Anolis sagrei: one gene and its partner. The protein of the gene in region 2 purifies or fractionates together with the protein of the main gene of each other region. This does not show direct contact. Links are inferred from orthologs where the notes say so. Each region holds a gene or a part of one and is shown on either strand. Other genes may lie near its edges.

Region 1 (7,476 bases), about 22 Mb from region 2:
GCTAGCGGGGTACAAATAAAGTTAATAATAATAATAATAATAATAAAGACACACAACAGATATAGACAAACAGTGAGAAGCTATTTAACTTTTCTGGCCACCAGGGGAGCTGTCGCTTTCATCGTTTATCTGCAACACTGATGAAGTACTTCCACATTCCCCGCATGCTTTTGCTGGAGTCTTTTTTATGACCTCGTAAATTTTGTTAAATTAGGCTCCCCACACATAGATGGTACCTAATTTTCCTACTTGACAGATGCAACTGTCTTTCGGATTGCAAAGGTCAACAACAAGCTACACAATTGGTCAGAAGCTCACTCCGACCCGGGTTGGCTTCGAACTCATGACCTTGTGGCCAGAAGTGATCTTAATGCAGCTGACACTCAGACAGCTGTGCCACAGTCCCGGTGCTTAGAATTCCTTATTTAAAAACAAAGCTGTTGGCGCACCAAAGCTTCAGCAATTGAAAACAAAACCTTGGGGCGGATCAATGCTGTAGAATGAATCCACATTAACTGCCCTGGCTCAATGCTATGGAATCCCGAGGGCTGTAGCTCTGCAATGCCTCAAGCCTTCTCTGATTGAAGCAAATACGGTATATATTTACTCACAAAATGCCCCTATAGCCATAAGCAGTCTAGTAATAATAATGCAGGGAGTACACATACACAGGCCACCTATTCCTGAATAATGATCTCTAAGATAATGAGAAAGAGGTTTTCAGCAATAGCAGATTACAGCTGCAATATCCATAGATAGTTTGTTTATATCTCAAATCTAATCTCTGCTTAAAAGCTTCTAAAAAGGAGGCTCCACCACACTCTGGGACAGAGAGTTCCACTGCTGAACAGCTCTCATAGTCAGGAAGCTCTTCCTAACGTTCAGGTGGAATCTCCTTTCATGTAGTTTGAAGCCATTGCTCCATTGTGTCCCAGTCTCCAGGGAAGCAGAAAACAAGCTTGCTCCCTCCTTCCTATGACTTCCGCTCACATATTTATACATGGCTATCATGTCTCCTCTCAGCCTTCATTTCTTCAGGTTAAACATGCCCAGCTCTTTAAGCCACTCCTCACAGGGCTTGTTCTCCGGACACTTGATTATTTGAGTTGCCCTCCTCTGGACACATTCCAGCTTAGAGTCAACATCTCCCTTCAATTGTGGTGCCCAGAATTGGAAACAGTGTGAGTCCAAGTGTGGTCTGACCAAGGCAGAATAGAATAGAGGGGGAGCATGACTTCCTTGGATCAAGGCACTAGATCCAAGCTTAGGAAGGAACCCACCTTAAAAACTTTCAAGAGGGATCTCAAAACCTGGCTTTTGGAGAGTAGCCATACTATCATACACAGTTGCTCCCCCTCAACAGTTTTTGTCCTCAGAGTATATTTCCTCACCTGTATGAAAGTATATTTTATGACCCATTTTAATGAGTTTCTCCCTCACAAACAATCTGCTCCTTTGCTGTTTTGCTGTTGTAATTTTAGAGTTTTACACAGAGAAGCCATTGAAATCCACAAGCATGTGGACAATTTCAACAGAAAGGAAGAGACCATGAAAATGAACAAAATCTGGCTACCAGTATTAAAAAACTCAAAAATTACTACAGCAAAACAGCAGAGAGGAAACAACCAGGCACATCTTAACACCTCTCAACAAAAGATTCCCCCAGGCTCAGCCAGGCCTTCAAATGCTACTGAAGGTGGTCAGTTGAAACATTCACACCTAGCTCCAGCAGAGAAAAGCTCTTTGCCCCACCCCAGCCCGTCCACAGATATATAAACCCATGGTCCTAATTCCAACAGACCTCACTACCTCTGAGGATGCTTGCCGTAGATGCAGGCGAAACGTCAGGAGAAAATGCCTCTAGAACATGGCCCTATAGCCCGAAAAAACCCACAAGAACCTAGTGATTCCAGCCATGAAAGCCTTCGACAATAGTATTAAAAAAACTCTAAAATTACAACAGCAAAACAGCAGAGAGGAAACAACCAGGCACATCTTAACACCTCTCAACAAAAGATTCCCCCAGGCTCAGCCAGGCCTTCAAATGCTAATGAAGGTGGTCATTTGAAACATTCACACCTAGCTCCAGCAGACAAGAGTTCTTTGTCTCACCCTGGTCATTCCACAGATATATAAACCCTTTTTCCTAGTTCTAACAGACCTCAGTACCTCTGAGGATGCTTGCCATAGATGCAGGCGAAACGTCAGGAGAGAATGCTTCTAGAACATGGCCATATAGCCCGAAAAAAACCACAAGAACCTAATTTTGATTATACTTGCTCCAGAGGGGCATAGTTTGAGAAGGGCTCCATACATCATTTGTGCTATGGATTTTGCCTCAAAGAGCTTAAACGCTGCTTGTATGTAGGGGTAGTATGTAGGGGTAGCATAATATCACAAAGGACGACCACCTCACCAGCCTCATAGGAAACCTGCTACAAAACAGGAGCTTCTTTGTTGAGTTCCAGGGTCAGAGAAGCAGATGGCGGAAACAGAAGAACGGACTGCCTCAGGGGAGCGTGCTTGCTCCATCCATGTTCAACATCTACACAAATGACCAGCCACTGCCAGAAGGGACAGAGAGTTTCATCTACGCTGATGATCGTGCCATTACTGCTCAAGCAGGGAGCTTTGAGATGGTTGAACAGATACTCTCTGAAGCTCTAGGTGCTCTTACTGCCTATTACAAGGAAAACCAACTGATCCCCAACCCATCTAAAACACAGACATGTGCCTTTCATCTCAAGAACAGACAAGCATCCCGAGCTCTGAAGATCACCTGGGAAGGAATCCCACTGGAGCATTGCAGCGTACCCAAATATCTGGGAGTCACTTTGGACCATGCTCTTACCTACAAGAAGCACTGCCTGAACATCAAGCAAAAAGTGGGTGCTAGAAACAATATCATACGAAAGCTGACTGGCACAACCTGGGGATCACAACCAGATACAGTGAAGACATCTGCCCTTGCGCTGTGCTACTCTGCTGCTGAGTATGCATGCCCAGTGTGGAACACATCTCACCACACTAAAGCAGTGGATGTGGCTCTTAATGAGACATGCCGCATTATCACAGGGTGCCTGCGCCCTACACTACTGGAGAAATTACACTGTCTAGCCGGTATTGCACCACCTGACATCCGCCGGGAAGTAGCAGCCAATAGTGAAAGGACCAAGGCAGACATCTCCAGCCCATCCCCTGTTTGGGTATCAGCCAGCACGTCAACGACTTAAATCTAGAAATAGTTTTCTAAGATCTACAGAGACACTCACTGGAACACCTCAGCAAGCGAGAGTCCAAAAATGGCAGTCCCAAACCCAGAACCTCAACCAATGGCTGATACCAGATGAGAGACTTCCCCCTGGGCACACAGAAGACTGGGCGACTTGGAAGGTGCTGAACAGACTGAGCTCTGGCACCACGAGATGCAGAGCCAACCTTCAGAAATGGGGCTACAAAGTGGAATCCACGACATGCGAGTGTGGAGAGAAGCAAACCACTGAACACCTGCTGCAATGCAACCTGAGCCTGGGAAAATCCCCTGTTGAGAGGTGTTAAGATGTGCCTGGTTGTTTCCTCTCTGCTGTTTTGCTGTTGTAATTTTAGAGTTTTACACAGAGAAGCCATTGAAATCCACAAGCATGTGGACAATTTCAACAGAAAGGAAGAGACGATGAAAATGAACAAAATCTGGCTACCAGTATTAAAAAACTCTAAAATTACAACAGCAAAACAGCAGAGAGGAAACAACCAGGCACATCTTAACACCTGTCAACAAAAGATTTTCCCAGGCTCAGCCAGGCCTTCAAATGCTAATGAAGGTGGTCATTTGAAACATTCACACCTAGCTCCAGCAGAAAAGAGCTCTTTGCCCCACCCAAGCCATTCCACAGATATATAAACCCATTGTCCTAATTCCAACAGACTTCACTACCTCTGAGGAGGCTTGCCATAGATGCAGGCGAAACGTCAGGAGAAAATGCCTCTAGAACATGGCTCTATAGCCCGAAAAAAACCACAAGAACCTAGTGATTCCAGCCATGAAAGCCTTCGACAATACCTATAAGCACTGTTATCCCGCTTTGGCTGCCATGGCAACATGCGAGAGGGCAATGAGGCCGGCAATAGGGGCCTCTCAGGCATTCCAAGGCCTCGCCACACCACAAAACCCCTCAAAACGTTGCCAAGGTATAATATTATAGCCGGGCTATAGTAAAGCAGTGTGACAAGGCTCTCGAGAGGAAGAGAGAGAGAGAAGGGAGCCTGGAATGGGAGAAGAACCGCCTTCCAGTCAGCGAGGGCCTACCTTGCTTGCTTCCTCCCTGTTTCGCCGCCGACCGCCGCCTGGAAATGACGTCGGCGCCGCTCTGCTCCCCGATTGGCGGAGAGCGCGGCCGGCGTCTCCCAGCAGCCCCCGCGGCTCTCGGCGTCCGCGCCAATCCCGGCCTCGTTCCTGCTGCGCATGCGCCGTGGTGTTTCAGGCTCTTGCGGCCTTGTTTGGGTCTCCCGCCAGCCATGCCTTACGCCAACCAGCCCACCGTCCGCATCACGGAGCTCAGCGACGAGAACGTCAAGTTCATCGTGGAGAACACGGACTTGGCGTGAGCGGGGGCTTGTGTGGAGGAGGGGCAGGGCCTAGTCTGGAGAGGGAAGCCGGGGCCTAGAGTGCTTCTGCTGCCCCACTCAGGCACGGAGGCGTCTCAGGCCACCTCCTGGGCTTGGGAAATAGTCCCATATTATTATTATTATTATCCCCTACAAAATGTTTAGACAAAATTTTTAAGACTAACAGATTTATTTATTTATAGCTGTCTCCTGCCACGCGTTGCTGTGGCCCTCCTGTATATATATGTATTTGTGTGTATATATGTGTGTATATATGTGTTGCATATGTGTGTGTGTGTGCCTATGTGTAAGGTAAAGGTAGTCCCCTGACATTGTTGTTGTTGTTCATTCGTTCAGTCGTCTCCGACTCTTCGTGACCTCATGGACCAGCCTACGCCGGAGCTCCCTGTCGGCCGTTACCACCCCCAGCTCCCTCAAGGTCAGTCCAGTCACTTCAAGGATGCCATCCCCTGACATTAAGTCCAGTCATGTCTGACTCTGGGGTGTGGTGCTCATCTCCATTTCTAAGCCGAAGAGCCGGCATTGTCCGTAGACACCTCCAAGGTCATGTGGCCGGCATGACTGCATGGAGCGCCGTTACCTTCCCGTCGGAGCGGTACCTATTGATCTACTCACATTTGCATGTTTTCGAACTGCTAAGTTGGCAGAATCTAGGGCTGACAGCGGAAGCTCATGCCGCTCCCCGGAATCGAAACTGCGACCTTTCGATCAACAAGCTCAGCAGCTCAGTGCTTTAACCCACTGCGCCACCGTTGTGTATATGTGTGTGTATATGTGTGTGCTTGTCTATATGCATATTTGTTTCTATATGTGTGTGTATGTGTGCATGTGTATATTTGTGCATGTATATATGTGTGTGTATGCAGATGTATGTGTGTTTATAGTTGTGTGTGCTTGGGTATATTTTTATATGTGTGTTTATGAGTTTATGAGTATATGAGTGTGTGTGTATGGTGCATTTTGGGGTTTTTAAGTCTGTTCTGCTAGGGGGGGCTGTATTTTTAGTGGTGATGAACACTCGTTGGACTGTTAGGTGTATTGTGTCAAAAATTCGTGTCAATTCGTCCAGGCCGCCCCTGCCACACGTTGCTGTGGCCCACTCTGGTGGTCATGGGGGTTCTGTGTTGGAGGATATAAATACATATAATACTGCTAATAATAATAACAATGAATATTTCTCTGTTTTTCTTTTCCAGAGTAGCTAATTCCATCAGGAGAGTGTTCATTGCTGAAGTTCCCACCATCGGTATTTATCTATTCTTTATTGTTTATCTATTAATTTATTTTATTTTAAACATTTATATTCCACCCTTCTCATCCCGAAGTGGACTCAGCATATATACGGCAAACATTCAATGTTGGGACTCAAATTCTTATATGTATACATAAACAGTATGTTAAAGTCCAATACTACGAATTGAAGACTTTGAGCATGATTAATCAAATTGCTATTATCTCATTTTGTACTATTTTGTTTGCAGCCATAGACTGGGTACAGATAGATGCCAACTCCTCGGTCCTCCATGATGAGTTCATTGCACATAGGTTGGGTGAGTAACCGGCATAGGACACGATAGGAAAACACAGGCTTCTCTAGTTTTGTTTTTAAAACAATATTTTATTATGTGCGTAATTCACATAAAATACATTCCAATGCTTTGATGCCGAGCCTCTTTCTAACTCTGGATTTTTCATAAAATAGTGTAATGCCCAACACATTTAATTTTTCAGATTGTACTAGCATTCAACATTATTAATTACATTTTTAGTAATATCCCCAAGTTTTTCCTCTCCTGCTATATTTTTCTTATGTTATATGCCCTTTGGGAATTCTGGATCCTGTTTATTTATTTGTCGTGTCAGAGCAACCAGTCCATTATATTACATTTCTAACAGAACAAAGCAAACAAACAGACAAATACAAAACTTGTGAGTTTGGTAGTTGGTTAAATGTCCTTTGATGGGTATCTGGCCACTTGGAGTGCCTCAGGTGTTGCTACAAGGAGGTCCTCCCTGGTGCATGTGGCAGGGCTCAGGTTGCATTGCAGCAGGTGGTCAGTGGTTTGCTCCTCTCCACACTCGCATGTTGAGGATTCCACTTTGTAGCCCCATTTCTCAAGGTTGGCTCTGCATCTCGTGGTGCCAGAGCGCAGTCTGTTCAATGCCTTCCAAGTCGCCCAGTCTTCTGTGTGCCCAGGGGGGAGTCTCTCCTTTGGTATCAGCCATTGGTTGAGGTGCTGGGTTTGAGCCTACCACTTTTGGACTCTTGCTTGCTGAGGTGTTCCAGCGAGTGTCTCTGTAGATCTTAGAAAACTATTTCTAGATTTAAGTCGTTGACGTGCTGGCTGATACCCAAGCAGGGGATGAGCTGGAGATGTCTCTGCCTTGGTCCTTCCACTATTGGCTGCTACTTCCCGACGGATGTCAGGTGGTGCAATACCGGCTAAGCAGTGTAATTTCTCCAGTGGTGTAGGGCGCAGACACACCGTGATAATGCGGCATGTCTCATTACAAGCCACATCCATTGTTTTAGTGTGGTGAGATGTGTTCCACACTGGGCATGCATACTCAGCAGCAGAGTAGCACAGCGCAAGGGCAGATGTCTTCACTGTGTCTGGTTGTGATCCCCAGGTTGTGCCAGTCAGCTTTCGTATGATATTGTTTCTGGCACCCACTTTTTGCTTGATATTCAGGCAGTGCTTCTTGTAGGTAAGAGCACGGTCCAGAGTGACTCCCTGGTATTTGGGTGCGTGCGCCTTGCTTTGGGACCAAAGTTCTTGATTTGTTCCATCCGTAGATCATCCAGGCCAGCTGGATCCTGTGAACCATGTGATCTTAATTAATAATAAT
Region 2 (7,824 bases):
TACTCTTCAGCATGTACTGCCACTGAATAAAGAGAACCACAACAGTCAGACCAGTGGGAAAAGGCTTAGCTGGTTCCCTCTAGTTGATGAGTCTCACTGAGGATCTCCATAAAAACCTTCTCTGAAGGTTTTCAAGGACAGGCTAGAGGGCCATCTGTCGGGTTGGACTGGATGATCCTTTGGGTCTCTTCCAACTCTAGGATTCTATTGATCTATGACTTAGAGCAGTGGTTCTCATCCTGTGAGTCCCCAGGTGTTATGGCCTACAACTCCCAAAAATCCCAGCCAGTTTAGCAGCCACTGACTTATAGGGTTGGACTGGATGGCCCTTAGGGTCCCTTCCACATAGCTGAATAAAATCCCACATTATCTGCTTTGAACTAGAATATATGGCAGTGTGGATTCGGATAACCCAGTTCAAAGCAGATATTCTGGTTTATATGGTTGTGTGGAAGAGACCTATGATTTAGAGGGGTAGACTGGATAGTGCTGGGTTCTCTTCCAACTGTAAGATTCTATGACCTCTATATATGTATCTTTCTTTCTGTCTTTTAGTGGATTGGACTGGATAGCCCTCGATTCTCTTCCAACTGTAAGATTCTATCTATTTATTTATTTATTTATTTGCTGCATTTGTTAACCGCCGTTCTCAGCCCTAGGGCGACTCACGGCGGTGTACAACATATAAAAGACAATTTACAATAAGCCATAACGACAAAAAACAATATATCACTAATACACAATTATCTAATTACACTAAAAAATCCGCTCCGTCTTATAGTAGAATCATAACCAATCTCGTAATCCATATTCCGTTCCAGTTGTCATTTCCAGTTACTGTAGCACTCAGTTAAATGCCTTCTCAAATAGCCATGTCTTGAGGCTCTTACGGAAGGACATAAGGGAGGGCGCCTGTCTGATGTCAGCAGGGAGGGTGTTCCACAGCCGGGGGGCCACCACCGAGAAGGCCCTCTCTCTCGTCCCCGCCAGACGTGCCTGTGAAGCAGGCGGGATCGAGAGAAGGGCCTCCCCGGACGATCTCAAGGTCCTCGTGGGCTCATAGGCCGAGATGCGGTCCGAAAGGTATTTTGGGCCGGAACCGTTTAGGGCTTTGTAGGATAACACCAGCACCTTAAATTATCTATCTATCTATGAATGATTGGGTCAGACTGGATGGCCCATTCATTCTATCTATCTATGAATGAAAGTGTCAGACTGGATGGCCCATTCATTCTATCTATCTATCTATCTATCTATGAATGAAAGGGTCAGACTGGATGGACCATTCTATCTATCTATCTATCTTTGAATGAAAGGGTTAGACTGGATGGCCCATTCTATCTATCTATCTATCTATGAATGAAAGGGTCAGACTGGATGGCCCATTCTATCTATCTATCTATCTATCTATGAATGAATGAAAGGGTCAGACTGGATGGCCCATTCTATCTATCTATCTATCTATCTATCAATGAATGAAAGGGTCAGACTGGATGGCCCATTCTATCTATCTATCTATCTATCTATGAATGAAAGGGTCAGACTGGATGGCCCATTTTATCTATCTATCTATCTATCTATCTATGAATGAAAGGGTCAGACTGGATGGCCCATTCTATCTATCTATCTATCAATCAATGAAAGGGTCAGACTGGATGGCCCATTCTATCTATCTATCTATGAATGAAAGGGTCAGACTGGATGGTCCATTCTATCTATCTATCTATCTATGAATGAAAGGGTCAGACTGGATGGTCCATTCTATCTATCTATCTATCTATCTATGAATGAAAGGGTCAGACTGGATGGCCCTTGGGGGTCCCTTCCAACTCCAGCATTAATTATTTATTTATTATTTATTTATTTACCTTACTTATATACCGCTGTTCTCAGCCCGAAGGTGACTCACAGCGGTTCACAACAAATACGAACAGCAAAAATTCAGTGCTACAGTATAAAAACAGTTCACAGCGTAACACATTACATAATTAATAAAGTTACTACAATACCCATTCACTGTCGTCTCGTCATCAAAAACATGTTCCAGATTTGTCATCCATTGTTCCATTCCAGTGTTCATTAACCAATCATTGCACTAATTATTCGAACGCCTGCTCAAACAGCCAGGTCTTCACTTTTTTGCGGAATACCATTAGAGATGGTGCTAATCTAATGTTCATAGGAAGGGCGTTCCACAGCTGAGGAGCCACCACCGAGAAGGCCCTATCTCTCATCCCCGCCAGCCGTGCTTGAGAAGCAGGCGGGATCGAGCGCAGGGCCTCCCCGGAAGATCTCAAAGTCCTGGTGGGTTCATAGGCAAAGATGCGGTCGGATAGGTAGGATTCTATATTTATTTATTTCTCTAAACTATTCTCTTCTTCCATCAGCACCCACTGGATCACTCTCAACATCACTCTGAGTGTGACAGATGAGGCTCATGCTCGTTTGTGTCATCCACAGAGGTCCAGAGGGCCTTTGGGCAGAATCAGAGCCAGGGCTGGAGCAGAAGTGGGCAAGTGATGGCTGGGGTTCTGTCAATAAGCAATGAAAAGGAAAGGGCCTGAGGCCATTAGGAATTATGGGAATTGAAGTCCAAAACACCTGGATAGAGGGCCTAAGTTGGCTCAGGCCTGTGTCAGAGAGAGAAGGAGGCCTTCTAGGTTTGAGGAAGGGTCTTCCTTTCGGACTGCAACTCCCAGAATCCCCCAGTCGCCCCTTCTGGCAACTGCAGCCCGAGAAGGCGCTTTCCCCCTTCATTTCCTTCCTCTGGCGTTCCCCACCGGTCTCCCCTCCAAGTCCCATCCAAGGCCGACCCGCCTCAGCTCCCAACCCCAAGCAAAGCCTGGGACCTTGAGAGGAAGGGGAAGAAGCCTCACAGCAGCCACACAAACCACAACAAGACTAACGGCAACAGGCTGTTCCTCTTACCGGCGGCGGCTGAGCTCCTTCCTCTTCCCACTTCCGCCTCCTGTAAGTCGTGGGTCATGTGACAGGCAGGCGAGGCGTCACATGACCCTCCGCCTTTCTGGGGCAAAGTTCGAGAGAGGCCAAAGCGGACCAATCAGCGGCGCCCTGCGTTTCCCAGGCTGCCTTGCGCGGGAGAGGAGGGCAAGATGGCGCCGGTGGAACACGTTGTGGCCGACGCGGGGGCTTTTCTGAAGGCAGCCCCGCTCCAGGTGGGTCTCACAGGCCTCCAGGTGGGCTCTAAGCTGGGAGGCGTCCAGAGAAGGGCCGCCAAAAGGGCCAGAGGCCTGGAAGTCAGGAATTCCTCTCAGGAAGAGCTGAGGGAGCTGCAGGGAGTGTTTGCCTTGGAGGAGAGAAGGGGGCCCGGCAGCCATGTTTCCTTATTTGGAAGAGGAGAAGGCAAGGCTTGTTCCCTGGGTTCGCAGTTTGCTCGTGACGCCCACATATATTTCTCCATGCCTTCACAAGCAGCCTCAGCTAAGGAATGAATTCCTGGAGCATATAATGGGCTGTATGAGGCTGTATGTGGAGGCCGTGACAGACCTTGTATTTCTAGGTGCAAAGATTACTGCAGATGCAGACTGTGGCCAGGAAATCAGAAGACGCTTACTTCTTGGGAGGAGAGCAATGTCCAGTCTCAGTAAAATAGTAAAGAGTAGAGACATCAGACTGGCCACAAAGATCCGCCTAATCAAAGCCATGGTATTCCCTGTAGTCATCTATGGATGTGAGAGCTGGACCTTAGGGAAGGCTGAGCAAAGGAAGAGAGATGCTTTTGAACTGTGGTGTTGGAGGAAAGTTCTGAGAGTGCCTTGGACTGCGAGAAGATCCAACCAGTCCATCCTCCAGGAAATAAAGCCCAGCTGCTCACTGGAGGGAAGGATACTAGAGACAAAGTTGAAGTTCTTTGGCCACATTATGAGGAGACAGCAAAGCCTAGAGAAGACAATTATGCTGGGGAAAGTGGAAGGCAAAAGGAAGAGGGGCCGACCAAGGGCAAGATGGATGGATGGCATCCTTGAAGTGACTGGACTGACCTTGAAGGAGCTGGGGGTGGTGACGGCCGACAGGGAGCTCTGGCATGGGCTGGTCCATGAGGTCACGAAGAGTCGGAGACGACTGAATGAATGAACAACAACAGCAACATGAGGAAAACATATTGAAATAGGTGTGCTTGCCATCAAGGGTCCTCATCTGGGGATCATAGAATCCTAGAGTTGGAAGAGACCTCATGGGCCATCCAGTCCAACCCAATTCTGCCAAAAAGCAGGAAAATTGCATTCAAAGCACCTCTGACAGTTGGCCATCTATCCTCTGCTTAAAAGCTTTCAAAGAAGGAGCCTCCACCACACTCCAGGGCAGAGAGTTCCACTGCTGAACAGCTCTCACAGTCAGGAAGTTCTTCCTCATGTTCAGATGGAATCGCCTTTCTTGTAGTTTGAAGCCATTGTTCCACGTCCTAGTCTCCAGGGCAGCAGAAAACAAGTTTGCTCCCTCTTCCCTATGACTTCCCTATGACTTCCTCTCAGATACTTGATGCATGACTATCATGTCTCCTCTCAGCCCTCTCTTCTTCAGCTCTTTAAGCTGCTCCTCATAGGGCTTGTTCCCCAGACCCTTGATCATTTTAGGCACCCTCCTCTGGACACATTCCAGCTTTTCAATATCTCTCTTCAATTGTGGTGCCCAGAATTGGACACAATATTCCAGGTGTGATCTAACCAAGGCAGAATAGAGGGGGAGCATGACTTCCCTAGATCTAGACACTATACTGCTATTGATGCAGGCCAAAATCCCATTGGGTTCAGGTTACCTAAAGGATTGCCTTCTCCCATACAATCCGTCCCACTTACTTTGTTCCTCTGGGAGGTGGTAGCTCCACTAGCCAAAACCTGACTGGAATAACCTGCCAGTAGAGCCCTGACAGCTGGATCAGCTGTCGGAATTAAAGATACAAATGAAGAACTATCTCTTCCAGCAGGCCTACCCAGTTTTAATTGTGAATTTTAAATTCTACTGAATTCTTGGTTTTTGTTTTGTGTGTTTTAAAACATATTTTATAGAGGTATGTTATTTTATATAATGTTTTAAAATTATTATATGCTTGTTTATGTTTTAGTAATCCTGTAACCCACCTTGAGCCAAATTAAAACTATTTTACTGACATATTATTATTATTATTATTATTATTACTATTATTCAAACTGCAAGGAAAGAGATTCCATTGAAACCTAAAGATGAACTTTCTGATGTTTAGAACCATTCAATGGCAGCATACCGACTGCCTGGGAGTCCAGTGGAGTCTCCTTCCTTTGCTGGAGGTTTTGACTTAGGGGCTGCGGAAGTGCTTTGATTGTGTCTTCCAGGCTAGCAAAAAGAAGGGGTTGGATGACCTTTGAGGATTCCTTCCAGCTTTAGGGTTCTGTGATTCTACCATGAGCTGAGTGTGAGCCAATGCTGGGATTCAGCAGCAGATAAAGCCCAATCGTGGCACAAGAACTGGGTGGCCCTTTTGGGGACCCCTCCCCATAGGATACAGACTGTCGGGGAGCCTGGCTGAGTCTTTTTCCTTCTCCTGGGGGCTTTAAACAGAGGCTGGATGTCCATCTCTCAGGGGGCTTGGATCGTGCCTCCCTGCCTAGCAGAAAGAAGGGAGTTGATGGTCTTTGGTGATCCTTTCCACTTCTAGTGGGACATTATAGACCACTTGGGAATCCTAAAGAGTTTGCTTTTCTGGGATGTTTTTGGGTGGAGCCTTCCTCGGCGGTACCCCCCTAACCCTTTCCCTCTCTCTGTGCAGGACATCGGCCAAAACGTCTACACTGTGCGGGAGGTGGTGGCTGAGATTCGGGACAAGGAGACCAAGCGTCGCCTGGCAGTCCTTCCTTATCAGCTCAACTTCAAACAGCCCTTCCCTGAATACATCCGCCTGGGTAAGCCCCACTTGCAGACCTACTGCTTTTGCTCCCAGATTGCCATCCATCTTGAAGGATGTTTGGAATACAAGACTTATGCAGTGGAACCTTGGCTTAAGAGTGTCCCAAGTTGAGAACATTTTGAGTTAAGAACTGTCAATTGAGTTGAGAGCATATTGAGTTAAGAACTGTCAATTGGCCTGTGTTTGCTTTGACATACAAGCAGCATTTTGAGTTAAGAGCCAGCACCAGAGGAAGTGCTAACGCAAGAGTTCAGGGCTTTAGGGCTTCAAGGGAGCAACCTTCTTGCTCTGTCTGTCTGCTTTGGGAGATTGCTATCCGCTTTGCTCTTGTCCACTTTGAGGAACTTTGGGTTTGTTGATTTTGTGTGTTTTTAATAAATTTTAATTCCTGATCTGTTTGGCTTCATAAAGAGTGAGAGGGAGGGAAGGTGGGTGGAATGAGGAGGAAGAAGAAAAGGATGCTTCTGCCTCTTTACTTGGTGCTTTGGCTTCTTTGCCACAACTTTGTATTGTCATGGAACGAATTAGACTCTTAAATCAAGGTATCGATGCATAAAGGTACAGGGATTGCATCCCAAATCCTCTGGAGGCCGCTTATTTGGACTCTTGGCAAACAGGTGGCCTCTAGAGCCTCAGTCATTCAGAAATCTTGCTCATTTGGGGCAGCCATAACTTCCTTATATAAGATACTAGTCTCTAAAAGTTCCTTTTTGGCCTTGGCAAGTTCTGTATGCTGCATTTTCTGCTACCTTGGTTTTATTGGGCACAACTTTGGTCATGTGTTTTCTGTTACACAAGCCTCCGCATTGACTGTAGCTCAAGTCATAAATATTTATTTTGATAATTCCCAAAGAGAGAGATAGGGCCATATCCCTGAGCAAGCATCGTTAGCCTCTTCTCTTCTTCCTTGGCCTTTTGGCTGGAAAGCATGGGACTATCAAACTACTGCTCTGTATATGGATTCAATGACGGAATGCCATTTTCTCTCCCTTTCTTTAGTGACCGAGTTTTCCAAGAAGACGGGTGACTATCCCAGCCTTTCGGCTACAGACTTAAAGGTTCTGGCTTTGACTTACCAGCTGGAAGCTGAGAATGTTGGTATTGTTCACCTGAAGACGGAACCTGAGCAGAAGGTGGGAGAAGCAGACGCTTTCATATCTATGCTTGCCTCCTCAGTGTGCAAAATGCACATTTATACTCCAATTAACCTGTTTTTTAGATGACCCCCCAAAAGTATTTTTACTTTTCTTGCAAATGATAATATTATATGTATTTTGATAGTGTTGTGTTTTAACTGTGTTGTATTCTGCCTTGAGCTGCAAGGAGAGGCAGAGTATTCTTATTATTATAATTATAAATGAAACATACTGAATATCAGGGTACATCTCTTTGGTTTGCCAGTGACCTTTGAAAACGGATGGGTATGTTTTGTGGTGTGAGCTGGGGAAGGCATTTAATTTCATTGTGCAACAACACAATGAAAATAAAACTTTTCTATTCTATTTTGAAAGGAAGCTAGGACCAGGGATTTCATTGATTTGTCCTGCCCAAAAGGCCTCCTGACATGATACCTTTTATAAATGATTTTGAGGGGAATAAATAGATGGGTATCGTGGAGTAATAAATATTATTATCCTTATTATTATAGATGAAAAATCCAAAGGAACCTAGAACCAGGGATTCCAATGATGAGATGCTCTATGTGGCCTTGCACAAATGTCTACCTTTTATAAATGACTTTAAGGCAATGGTTCTCAACCTGGGGGTTGCGACTCCAGAGGGGTCGATGGGCTGTTTCAGAGGAGTCGCGTCACCTCCTCCTTCGGCCCCACCCTCTCCGCCTCTCCAGAATGGCTGCCGGGCCCCCGGGGACACCACAGCAAGTCCTGGATCTAGCGGGGAGGCTTTCCCTGCTGCCATCG

What was found.
Region 1: the proteins of WWP2 (region 2) and POLR2C purify together in Homo sapiens (affinity purification with mass spectrometry; 3 studies listed by BioGRID and IntAct, with this or other methods). This does not show direct contact. The link is inferred for Anolis sagrei from reciprocal best matches to the Homo sapiens genes WWP2 and POLR2C.

What each region holds. Positions count from the first base shown.
Region 1 is NC_090028.1:6,440,971-6,448,446, forward strand, and holds the start of POLR2C (DNA-directed RNA polymerase II subunit RPB3), read left to right. Parts: upstream 1-4,444; 5' UTR 4,445-4,462; coding exon 4,463-4,601; intron 4,602-5,822; coding exon of another isoform or gene 5,823-5,827; coding exon 5,828-5,872; intron 5,873-6,107; coding exon 6,108-6,176; intron 6,177-7,476. UniProt on the Homo sapiens protein: Core component of RNA polymerase II (Pol II), a DNA-dependent RNA polymerase which synthesizes mRNA precursors and many functional non-coding RNAs using the four ribonucleoside triphosphates as substrates.
Region 2 is NC_090028.1:28,882,178-28,890,001, reverse strand, and holds the start of WWP2 (NEDD4-like E3 ubiquitin-protein ligase WWP2), read right to left. Parts: upstream 3,005-7,824; 5' UTR 2,929-3,004; intron 1-2,928. Other genes in the region: RNA-binding protein NOB1, read left to right, coding at 3,114-3,176, 5,765-5,897, 6,902-7,035. UniProt on the Homo sapiens protein: E3 ubiquitin-protein ligase which accepts ubiquitin from an E2 ubiquitin-conjugating enzyme in the form of a thioester and then directly transfers the ubiquitin to targeted substrates.